Saccharomyces cerevisiae S288C: one gene and its partners. The protein of the gene in region 3 purifies or fractionates together with the protein of the main gene of each other region. This does not show direct contact. Each region holds a gene or a part of one and is shown on either strand. Other genes may lie near its edges. The genes, in order: AIM23, RSM25 and EHD3.

Region 1 (3,253 bases), on a different chromosome or scaffold from region 3:
TTGGAATTTTGAAGGTATGAGTTTTGTAGCCGTATCTCAACCAATGTTTGACACTGTGTTTATATATATTGAGAAGTCTGGGCAAATAGAGTTTTTCTTAAAACTGGTTCTAAAGATTAAGACAAAATCAGATTCAATCCCGGATGAGTTTGGTTCATCTTTGCTGTTTAATGACGAAGAAAAGAAATTGTACGTTTCCTCCCCAGGCAGTTTCGATGCAAGAGGAAGTATATGGAAAATTAGTATGGATGAGCTATTAAAGGCGGGAAACGATCCGAAGCGCAAAACCCTTTTGATTAATAATTTAAGGCATCTCATGCTCATAAATCCTGACAAAAGTAGCAAGGGTGTGTCAAATTTTGGTAATAGCATGATTTTGGGTCCCCAAAATCACCTTATAGTAGGCATTCCCCAATATGGGTATGGAAATTTTGATCACATGCAGCTAACCGGTAGAATCCTGGTACTTTAATGATAAGTTATTATGTACAAGCATCGGTTTAGTTCAATTACATTAATTTAATACTTGAAAAGCATATTTGGCAATATGCGCTATATATATTCTGATGTCATTTGCTTCTATTTACATTTCATTCATTTTTTTTCTCTGAATCCTTTTTTGCAATTTTTCTTGCCTCTCCTTCTTTCTCAATTCCTTTAACGCCCTCTTATCGTTGTTTTGTGGTTTAACGTCCTTTGGTATAAGTTTCATTATCATTTTCGAGTTCATGTTACCTAGCAGAACAGGATCATTAGCATATTCGCTAACTATCTCTTTCAATGTCTCCAAGACAGCAGCTCTTTTCTGGAAAACTGATTCTGGTAGCCTGGGTGGTTCACCTTTTTGAGAGCGGTCCAGCTCCTCAAAATTTTCAAGCCAATTGTTTGAATTTATGTTATTCTTGTCATCAAGATATAACGTTACTTTATTCCCTTTTTTCAATAGCGAAACTATTTCGTGAGCCTTCTGCCTTTTTAAATCATCGCTTTCAATCTGCCATGATATTTTAATATGCTTCAAGTTATCTTCTTTTTTATCAGTCACCAAATTCTTGTAAGACTTATTCAGTACTCCCAATTCCATCAGTTCCTTTTCCTTTTTTTTAGCCAGAAAGTCTGAATATTTTTTTAAGGCTACACGACTTTCGACTATCTTAACAAGTGGAATTTGATTTTCATTATCGATTTGCTCTACATTAACAATACTGAGTCCAACTTTATCGAGATCAATGCCCTTGGCAAAATACCGAATATTGGATGCTTCAATTCGGTGGGTAGTGGGATCCACAACTTTGATGTTTCCCTTGTGATTTTTTTTGAATATCTCACTAACAACTGAATTAGCTGCCTCTTTAGCTCGATCTGTCCCGGTGCTCCAAGTAATCAGGATTTTTTTCCTGTTAGTAGCATTCCTTGGCACTTGTTTCGGGCGCTTAATATACTCTTTAGGAAAAGCAGCATTTCTTGCCACATTTCCATGACTTTGCTCTTTAAGATTTGCCAGCTCACGTTTACGTTTCATTGCGTTGCGAAATATATCTGTGGTAGATGATGCATTGTCTCTGCTGAAGTATTTTGTGCAATGAAAATATCTAAAACTTTTTAAAAACAGCATCTTCTGTGAAAGAACATCACTCAAAGGAACTTTTAACATATCCACGGACCTGATGTTACCTCCTTACTGTGTATGCATCAGGTATGCATTTTGTGATATATAGCTGTTATAGTTTTCTGAACTTACTTTTTTAGACCCTTAAAGTTCTTACCGTCGCGGGAAAATTCAGGTAAAATTCAAGAGCTCAGGATGAAAACTAGACAAAAGGAACGAGATTACCTTCAACTCCTATGCCTTAAACATTTTTTGTTTCCTCAAGAAAATTTGTTTACAAAATCATTCCATCTTTTGTTTTAAATAAAAACTCGACTTTGGGAAATCATATTATTGAGTGTAATATACAAATAAAAATATTGGTTAAAAAAGTTTAATAATAGATTATAAATTTAAAATACGGATAGGTCTCTTATCATTCACATATCAACACCCATGACCATGGCCAACAAAGCCATTCTGACGAACAAACCATACTTCATTTGTCTGAAGTAAGCAGCACGATGATCGTAGTCCACTTCCTCTTTGATTTCATTTACACGAGGCAATGGATGCATGATAGCCATATTTTCTTTGGCGTGTGCCAAGATCTTGTTGTCCACGATATAAGTATCCTTCAGACGTGCATATTCTTCAGGGCTATTGAATCTTTCTTCTTGGACCCTTGTACAATACAGAACATCGGTCTTTGAGATGATATGAGGGGTTAATTCAATGCTCTCAACACCAAGTAAGCCAGCTTTTCTTAGCTCTTCTCTTAATCCTTCTGGTAACCTCAATTCCGGAGGAGAAACAAGATTAATTCTGACTTGATAGTGCATTAACAAACGACACAATGAATGTACGGTTCTACCATGTTTGAGATCACCCATGAAAGTAACAGTAATACCATTAACAGTACCGATTTCTTCACGAATCGTAAACAAATCCAAGAAGGCCTGCGTAGGATGCTCGCGAGAACCATTACCACCATTAATAATTGGAACAGGAGAATATTTAGCGGCGATATGAACAGACATTTCTTCTGAATGACGCATGACAATGGCATCACTGTAACAAGCCAAAGTTCTGATAGTATCTTGAAGGGTTTCACCTTTCTTGACAGAAGACACCAATGGATTAACATTTACAATTCTACCACCCAAACGTTCCATAGCAGCAATGAATGAAGAACAAGTACGAGTAGATGGTTCAAAGAAAATTGTAGTAATAACGTGGCCTTTCATTAAATCTAAGACACCTTCTCTTGCGACAGCTGCCCTTAGTTCTTGTGCAACAGCAAACAACACATGGAAATCAGAACGTTTGAATTGTTTGATAGACAATATATGTCTTCCGCGGAATGGATTGTTACTACGGATCAAATTCTGGATGGCGCCTGGAGCAACAAGTTCTCTTGGTGGCCTTGAAGACATCAATTTTTGTTCCAAAGGCTGTTCTGGAATTGCATCCTCCGCGGCATCTAAATTATCAGCGATTGCTTCTTCCGTGATCGAGAACCTTCTTTTAGCACTAGTAGATTGGAGCTCTGCGGAAGCAGTTATGGAAGCTGGACTTGGATTAACAATGCATTTTCCTTTGGCGCCTGGTGAAACTAATTCACCGCTCAAAACTAATGTTTCGCCATTATAGACAACACGCTCA
Region 2 (3,044 bases), on a different chromosome or scaffold from region 3:
ATCTTTGTGCCCTGAATTTCAGCGTTTTTTTGAAATATATTTGATGTTATAGGTTGTAGTGAGTTTTTCTTGACGGCGCAGCACCTCTCATTCAAAGAACGTGAGTTTCCATCCATACGTTCATCATAAGTTGTAGTTTCCTCCTTCGTGCCTAAAACTTCATCATTAATTAGGTCAATATTAATTGTGCCTGTAACCAAACTGCCGCTATTCAAAATCGATATTGGCTCCACTGCACATTGTTGAGATTTACTGTTTTTAAGATTCGTATGGAGATCGCTTAAATTGGTGTGTCCATTTTTTGATGTGTATGCATTGGCAGAAACATTCCTAGATGTAAGAATATTCTTTTCCTCATCCATGACAAGAAAGAGCCGCATTCCAGGTTCATTTTGTTTCCGACGTTTAGGATCGGGTATGTGTTGACTGTTCTTATCAAAGTAATTTTTCTTATCACTCTTTTCAATAACCTTATTCTTACTTATAGTTTTAGTATTCGATAATTTGCTAACGATAGCAGTATTCTTACTCTTTGGAGTACAAATGTCGGAATCCCTCGTATTTTTATACCGGTATTTTTTATGATTAGATGCTCTCTTCGCAAATTCACAGGCAGTTATCAATAGTGCTAAATTCAAAGTCATTGGGAATGCACAATTTTCCAGTTGCTTTTGCAACTGTGGCTCCAATTTTGTGAGGAATAGATCCAACGCAGCACCAGAAGACAGATAATATGGAGTTAGACGTCCCGATTTATGGGCAAATGCTTCTAATGACTTCTCAGAATCAATGGACAACGTCAATAGTTCCGTAAAAATTTCCCTTCTTAAAGATCTTGCTCCATCAAATTCTTCTGATAGTAGAGCAAGAAATTTTTCAAAACTGTAAGCCTTTATCACATGGTCATCGATTCCCTCCGTTGTAGAATCAAACCATGTCTTAGCCCGGCCGGATAATGCAGAGCTTATAAGAAGTTTCAAAAACGTTCCTGTACAGCATAGTCCAAATAAGATATCTGTAATATCATCGGCCCATTGGACGAATATATTGTTATCATCACCGTCTTCAGCACTGAATTTTTTCAGATGACTCACTTTATCTAGCATTTTGAACGCTTGTTCATCGTCATCAATCTGTCTTGTAACACAAAAATTATTACACGCTATGGGCAAAGTTTCGCTCCTCTTTCTACGTCCACTGTGTCCCTTCTTGCTTCGCGGCGGCAGGGTATTTCCATTAGCTATTGTATCACTATAGTTATTAGTTCCCGACTCGTATGCCATGTTTTTGGATCTCATTTGCACCATTAAGCAAAAAGAATCTGTTGAACGAGGACCCTAACCCAAGACAGCTAATATACTGCTTTTTTATGACATTTTTCATTTGGTCTTCATTCTTGCGCATCTTCTTTGAGAGTTGAAATTTCTTTGATACTTCGGCAATTACAGAAAAGTGCAAGTTACAAGCAATAAAACCAATAATATTTAGATACTGCACAAAAGTCTAAGAAAATAACCTCATTAGAAGCTTGGAAAAGGAAGAAGGACATTGCGCACCATTCAAGAAGAAGATCTTAGAATTCTGAGAAATGAAGATACAAACAAATGCTGTAAACGTCCTTCAACGGACGTCCGCTTACTTGAAATCAGGATTGTTGAAAGAAACACCTGCGTGGTACAACGTTGTAGCGTCTATCCCACCATCAACCAAGTTTACACGTGAACCTCGTTTTAAGAATCCTTCCAATGGACACATCATAGGAAAACTTGTTGACGTAACAGAACAACCGCATGCCAACAATAAGGGACTTTACAAGACAAGACCCAACTCGAGCGACAAAAGGGTGGGCGTGAAAAGGCTGTACAGGCCACCTAAACTAACATACGTTGAGGATAGGCTCAGATCGCTCTTTTACAAACAACATCCATGGGAGTTGTCGAGACCTAAGATTTTAGTGGAAAACGAAATTGGTGATGAAAACTACGATTGGAGCCATATGCTTCAGATAGGAAGACCACTCGATGGTGAAAGTGTTATCCAGCGAACTATGTACTTAATCAAAACGAAGCAGTATGGGGACATGGTCGAAGCATATGACCATGCCAGATATGAATTCTATGCGTTGAGAATGCAAGAAGAAACAGAGCAGCAAGTGGCTTTGGAAGAAGCGGAGATGTTCGGATCCCTCTTTGGAGTTTCTGCCATTGAACATGGTATACAAAAGGAACAAGAGGTCCTAGACGTCTGGGAAAAGAAGGTAGTTGAAGAAACTGAACTAATGGCAGCAAGGACAAGTAACCCTGCAGGGTCGTGGAAGGACGACACTACATTGAATACGGCGCAAGAAGAAGAATCCACCACTTCCGAGAACCTCCACTTCTAGGTGGGCTGCCTCTTTTCTCCAACGTCACCTAACCAACCTGTATATAATTAAAAACAAACGAGAACAACACATGTAGTGCTAAGTAATTGTCGTTCTCAAATTCCACCTCGATTTTTTCAACTGCACTGAAAATTCCCACTCTTTTTTTTTTTTTTTTTTTTTTTTTTCACTTTTTTCCCGTGGAAAAATATTCTTAAGATGACTCTAATTAGAGGAAAGAACAACAAGAAACTAAACTGGTTCTACAGTTATATAAGGACATCTTAACTGATTTAGAATTAGCTAAGACTGTATCTATGCGATTATTATATTAGTGCGACATATTTATATAACTAAGATAGTAACGCACTCAAAAAGATGTTTAGATCTGTTGCTACTAGATTATCTGCCTGCCGTGGGTTAGCATCTAACGCTGCTCGCAAATCACTCACTATTGGTCTTATCCCCGGTGACGGTATCGGTAAGGAAGTCATTCCTGCTGGTAAGCAAGTTTTGGAAAACCTTAACTCCAAGCACGGCCTAAGCTTCAACTTTATTGATCTCTACGCCGGTTTCCAAACATTCCAAGAAACAGGAAAGGCGTTGCCTGATGAGACTGTTAAAGTGTTGAAGGAACAATGTCAAGGTGCTCTTTTCGGTGCAGTTCAGTCTCCAACTACTA
Region 3 (3,856 bases):
ACCAATTTCGTAAACACGATCCAAACCACCGACAACCAATTGTTTCAAGAACAATTCTGGAGCAATTCTCATGTACATGTCCATATCAAGGTCATTATGGTGGGTAATAAATGGCTTAGCGGTAGCACCACCAGCAATAACGTTCATCATTGGAGTTTCTACTTCAATAAACTTTCTTTGGTCCAAAAATCTTCTGATGTAACGGATAATTTCAGAACGGGTAATAAAACGGTTTCTGGCGTCTTTGTTCATGATCAAATCCAAATAACGCTTTCTGTATCTGGTTTCCTGGTCTTTGAAACCAAAGTGGTCGGCAGGTAACATGTGCAAACATGGTGTCAATAATTGCACTCTGCTAACGAAGACGGAAACTTCACCTTCACCACCTTTCTTTGGTTGAGTTCTTCCGACGTAACCCTCGACACCAACGATATCACCCCTTTTCAAAAGGTCGTGATCCTTTTCGTAAGAGTCTGGGTCGCAGTAGTCCTGCAATTGGGACATCAATTGAACTTCAACACCATCACCGTGAAGAACATAGAATTTCAATTTGGAGCCAGATTCTCTTTTGGCATGAATTCTACCAGCAATTGAAACCTTCTCTTCAGGTAAGGTTTCACCTTTTTTCAAATGCGCATATTTGGCCAAGAACTCAGGATTGGATATAGAAACGTGAAACTTGTGTGGGTATGGATTTGGTTCGTGAGTCTTTCTCAATTCTTGAATTTGGCGAGATCTTGTTTCGAAATATTGCGATGGATCCAGGTCAGCGAACAAATCTGTTTTTTTTTTGGAAGCCGGTTTTGGTTGAGCGGCAGCCTTTTTGGCGGCCTTTTTAGCTTCGACTTGTCTTTGCTTGATACGCTTCTTCAATTCAGACTTGGAGACCATTTCCCCGGTAGCTTCGTCGAGATGTAGGTTAGCAACACCTTCAGCGGCGGCTTTGACATTATCTTGTTGAGACATTATGCTATTGAAGTTTATTACGGATTTCTCGGAGGAAGGACAGAGCAATAAATCAATGTATGTAAGATAATTATACTTTTCTTTCTAAACAAAAAAGTGGCTGTATATATAACTTCGAAGTTCATTAAGAGTCATTTCATCATTCATCGATAATTCAAGCTAAAAAAAAAAGAAAAAAAAAAAGAAAAGCGCCGAAAAAAATTCAAATGGCAAATATTTTCACAACACCCATACACTACACCAAAAATATTCCTACATCACTAATGCCATTAGCATTCCATAAACTACTAACCAACAACTAGAACAGAACTTGATCTATTGTGCTCATGGGTCGGAGAAGCTCGCCTTATCCGCATCGTTTCCTGGGTTAATAGAAAGGTTTTTTGAATTCTTAAACATGTAATATCTCAAAACTAACACTTAAACATTATGCCGAAGAGAACAGTCCCTAACCCATTTGTAGTAAGCAGCCTTACAGGATTCCAAGGATTCAGCCAGCCAAACTGACCCATTGCGTTTTCTACCAATCTTCTCTTGTTTAGTAACACAATCCGGGTCACCCTTCGGAACTTCGGAATTGGAGAGGCAAGTGCAAAGAAAAGTGTTAAACCTCGGAGCCAAATGATTGATGAGGTAGCCGAGAAGATAAGAGCAGCTTGTTTCCTGCGCCTGTGTACGGGAATCCTCATTTATATAATACTTGGTTCTGTTTAGCCACCACAAATAATGCTCAGAAATACGCTAAAATGTGCCCAATTGTCGTCTAAATACGGATTTAAAACTACCACACGTACATTCATGACTACTCAACCCCAGCTAAATGTCACCGACGCACCACCTGTGCTATTTACCGTTCAAGATACAGCTAGAGTTATCACGCTAAATAGGCCCAAAAAGCTCAATGCTTTGAACGCCGAAATGTCAGAATCCATGTTCAAGACTTTGAACGAGTATGCAAAGAGCGATACTACAAACTTAGTCATTTTAAAGTCATCCAACCGACCACGTTCGTTCTGTGCTGGTGGTGATGTAGCTACTGTGGCAATATTCAATTTTAACAAAGAATTTGCCAAGTCCATCAAATTTTTTACTGATGAATATTCTTTGAATTTTCAAATAGCAACTTACTTGAAACCAATTGTTACCTTCATGGACGGTATCACCATGGGTGGCGGCGTTGGTCTATCCATTCACACGCCCTTTAGAATTGCTACAGAAAACACCAAATGGGCCATGCCCGAGATGGACATTGGTTTTTTTCCAGATGTAGGCTCAACTTTTGCTCTCCCTAGAATCGTGACATTGGCTAACTCAAACTCACAAATGGCCCTGTATCTATGTCTTACAGGAGAAGTAGTCACAGGAGCAGACGCTTATATGCTCGGCTTAGCGTCTCATTACGTCAGTAGTGAAAATTTAGATGCTTTGCAGAAAAGATTAGGTGAAATTAGCCCCCCTTTTAATAACGATCCACAATCTGCATACTTCTTCGGGATGGTTAACGAATCCATCGACGAATTCGTATCACCATTACCAAAAGATTATGTTTTCAAGTATTCTAACGAGAAATTAAACGTTATTGAAGCCTGTTTTAACTTGTCTAAAAATGGTACTATTGAAGACATAATGAATAACTTACGTCAATATGAAGGTTCTGCGGAAGGTAAGGCTTTCGCACAAGAAATCAAAACGAAATTGTTAACCAAGTCACCATCCTCTCTTCAAATCGCCTTGAGATTGGTGCAAGAGAATTCCAGAGATCACATAGAATCTGCTATCAAAAGAGACTTATACACAGCAGCTAACATGTGCATGAACCAGGACTCTTTGGTGGAATTCTCTGAAGCCACAAAGCATAAACTTATTGATAAACAAAGGGTCCCGTATCCATGGACAAAGAAGGAACAGTTATTTGTATCTCAGTTGACATCTATCACATCTCCTAAACCATCGCTACCAATGTCATTACTAAGAAATACCTCGAATGTTACTTGGACTCAATATCCCTACCATTCTAAATACCAATTGCCTACAGAACAGGAAATCGCTGCGTATATTGAAAAGAGAACGAATGATGACACTGGCGCCAAAGTTACCGAAAGAGAAGTACTAAATCACTTTGCCAATGTGATTCCTTCTAGAAGAGGGAAACTGGGTATCCAATCGCTATGTAAAATTGTTTGTGAAAGAAAATGTGAAGAAGTTAACGATGGCTTAAGATGGAAATAAAACCTGAAATAGCAGCCCCGTGGCTCGTAAAGAATTTTGCCAACACTTCTATGCATGTAAATAATAAAAGTAAAACATAACGCTATATTTGTATATGGATGTTTATTTAATGATACATAGAAAACTGTCATTTTCTTTCTCTTTTCTTATAAGTATTTTTTTTTATAAAAGGCAAAAAAAAAAAAGTTTGAATGTAATAAATATGGTTCAGAAAGAAATTACAATAAATCAAAAGTTTTGAGTATCATTCAAGATTATTTGCATTTTTCCCTCATTTACAGGCTATTTTTTCAAGGCCTTTCTTCTGTTTCTAACACCTTCTGCCAATAGCTCCAATACCTGTTCGGTGGACTCCCAGCCAATACAAGCATCCGTAACAGAACAACCATACTTCAATCCCTCTCTGCCACCTTCTTTGGGAATATCTTGTCTACCTTCATTTATGTTGGACTCAATCATAACACCACAGAGACTATTCTCACCCTCCGTCAGCTGGTCATAAATACATTTGGCAACCTTTGGTTGGTTCTTGAAATCTTTATTACTGTTGCCGTGGGAACAATCGATCATAATTCTTTTCTGGGAATCATCAGTCAAACCGGCCTTTTCTAACTGTTTCTTAGTATTTTGAACACTTTCTTTGTCAAAGTTAGTACCGTTC

The links.
Region 1: the proteins of EHD3 (region 3) and AIM23 purify together in Saccharomyces cerevisiae (affinity purification with mass spectrometry, with the first as the bait; 2 studies listed by BioGRID). This does not show direct contact.
Region 2: the proteins of EHD3 (region 3) and RSM25 purify together in Saccharomyces cerevisiae (affinity purification with mass spectrometry, with the first as the bait; 4 studies listed by BioGRID). This does not show direct contact.

Annotation. Positions count from the first base shown.
Region 1 is NC_001142.9:163,695-166,947, forward strand, and holds AIM23 (Aim23p), read right to left. Parts: upstream 1,655-3,253; coding exon 584-1,654; downstream 1-583. Other genes in the region: YJL132W (uncharacterized protein), read left to right, coding at 1-472; URA2 (bifunctional carbamoylphosphate synthetase/aspartate transcarbamylase), read right to left, coding at 2,029-3,253.
Region 2 is NC_001141.2:187,329-190,372, reverse strand, and holds RSM25 (mitochondrial 37S ribosomal protein mS23 RSM25), read left to right. Parts: upstream 1-1,588; coding exon 1,589-2,383; downstream 2,384-3,044. Other genes in the region: YIL092W (uncharacterized protein), read right to left, coding at 1-1,307; LYS12 (homoisocitrate dehydrogenase), read left to right, coding at 2,741-3,044. UniProt on the Saccharomyces cerevisiae protein: Component of the mitochondrial ribosome (mitoribosome), a dedicated translation machinery responsible for the synthesis of mitochondrial genome-encoded proteins, including at least some of the essential transmembrane subunits of the mitochondrial respiratory chain.
Region 3 is NC_001136.10:522,550-526,405, reverse strand, and holds EHD3 (mitochondrial 37S ribosomal protein mS47 EHD3), read left to right. Parts: upstream 1-1,692; coding exon 1,693-3,195; downstream 3,196-3,856. Other genes in the region: lysine--tRNA ligase KRS1, read right to left, coding at 1-966; 3-deoxy-7-phosphoheptulonate synthase ARO3, read right to left, coding at 3,478-3,856.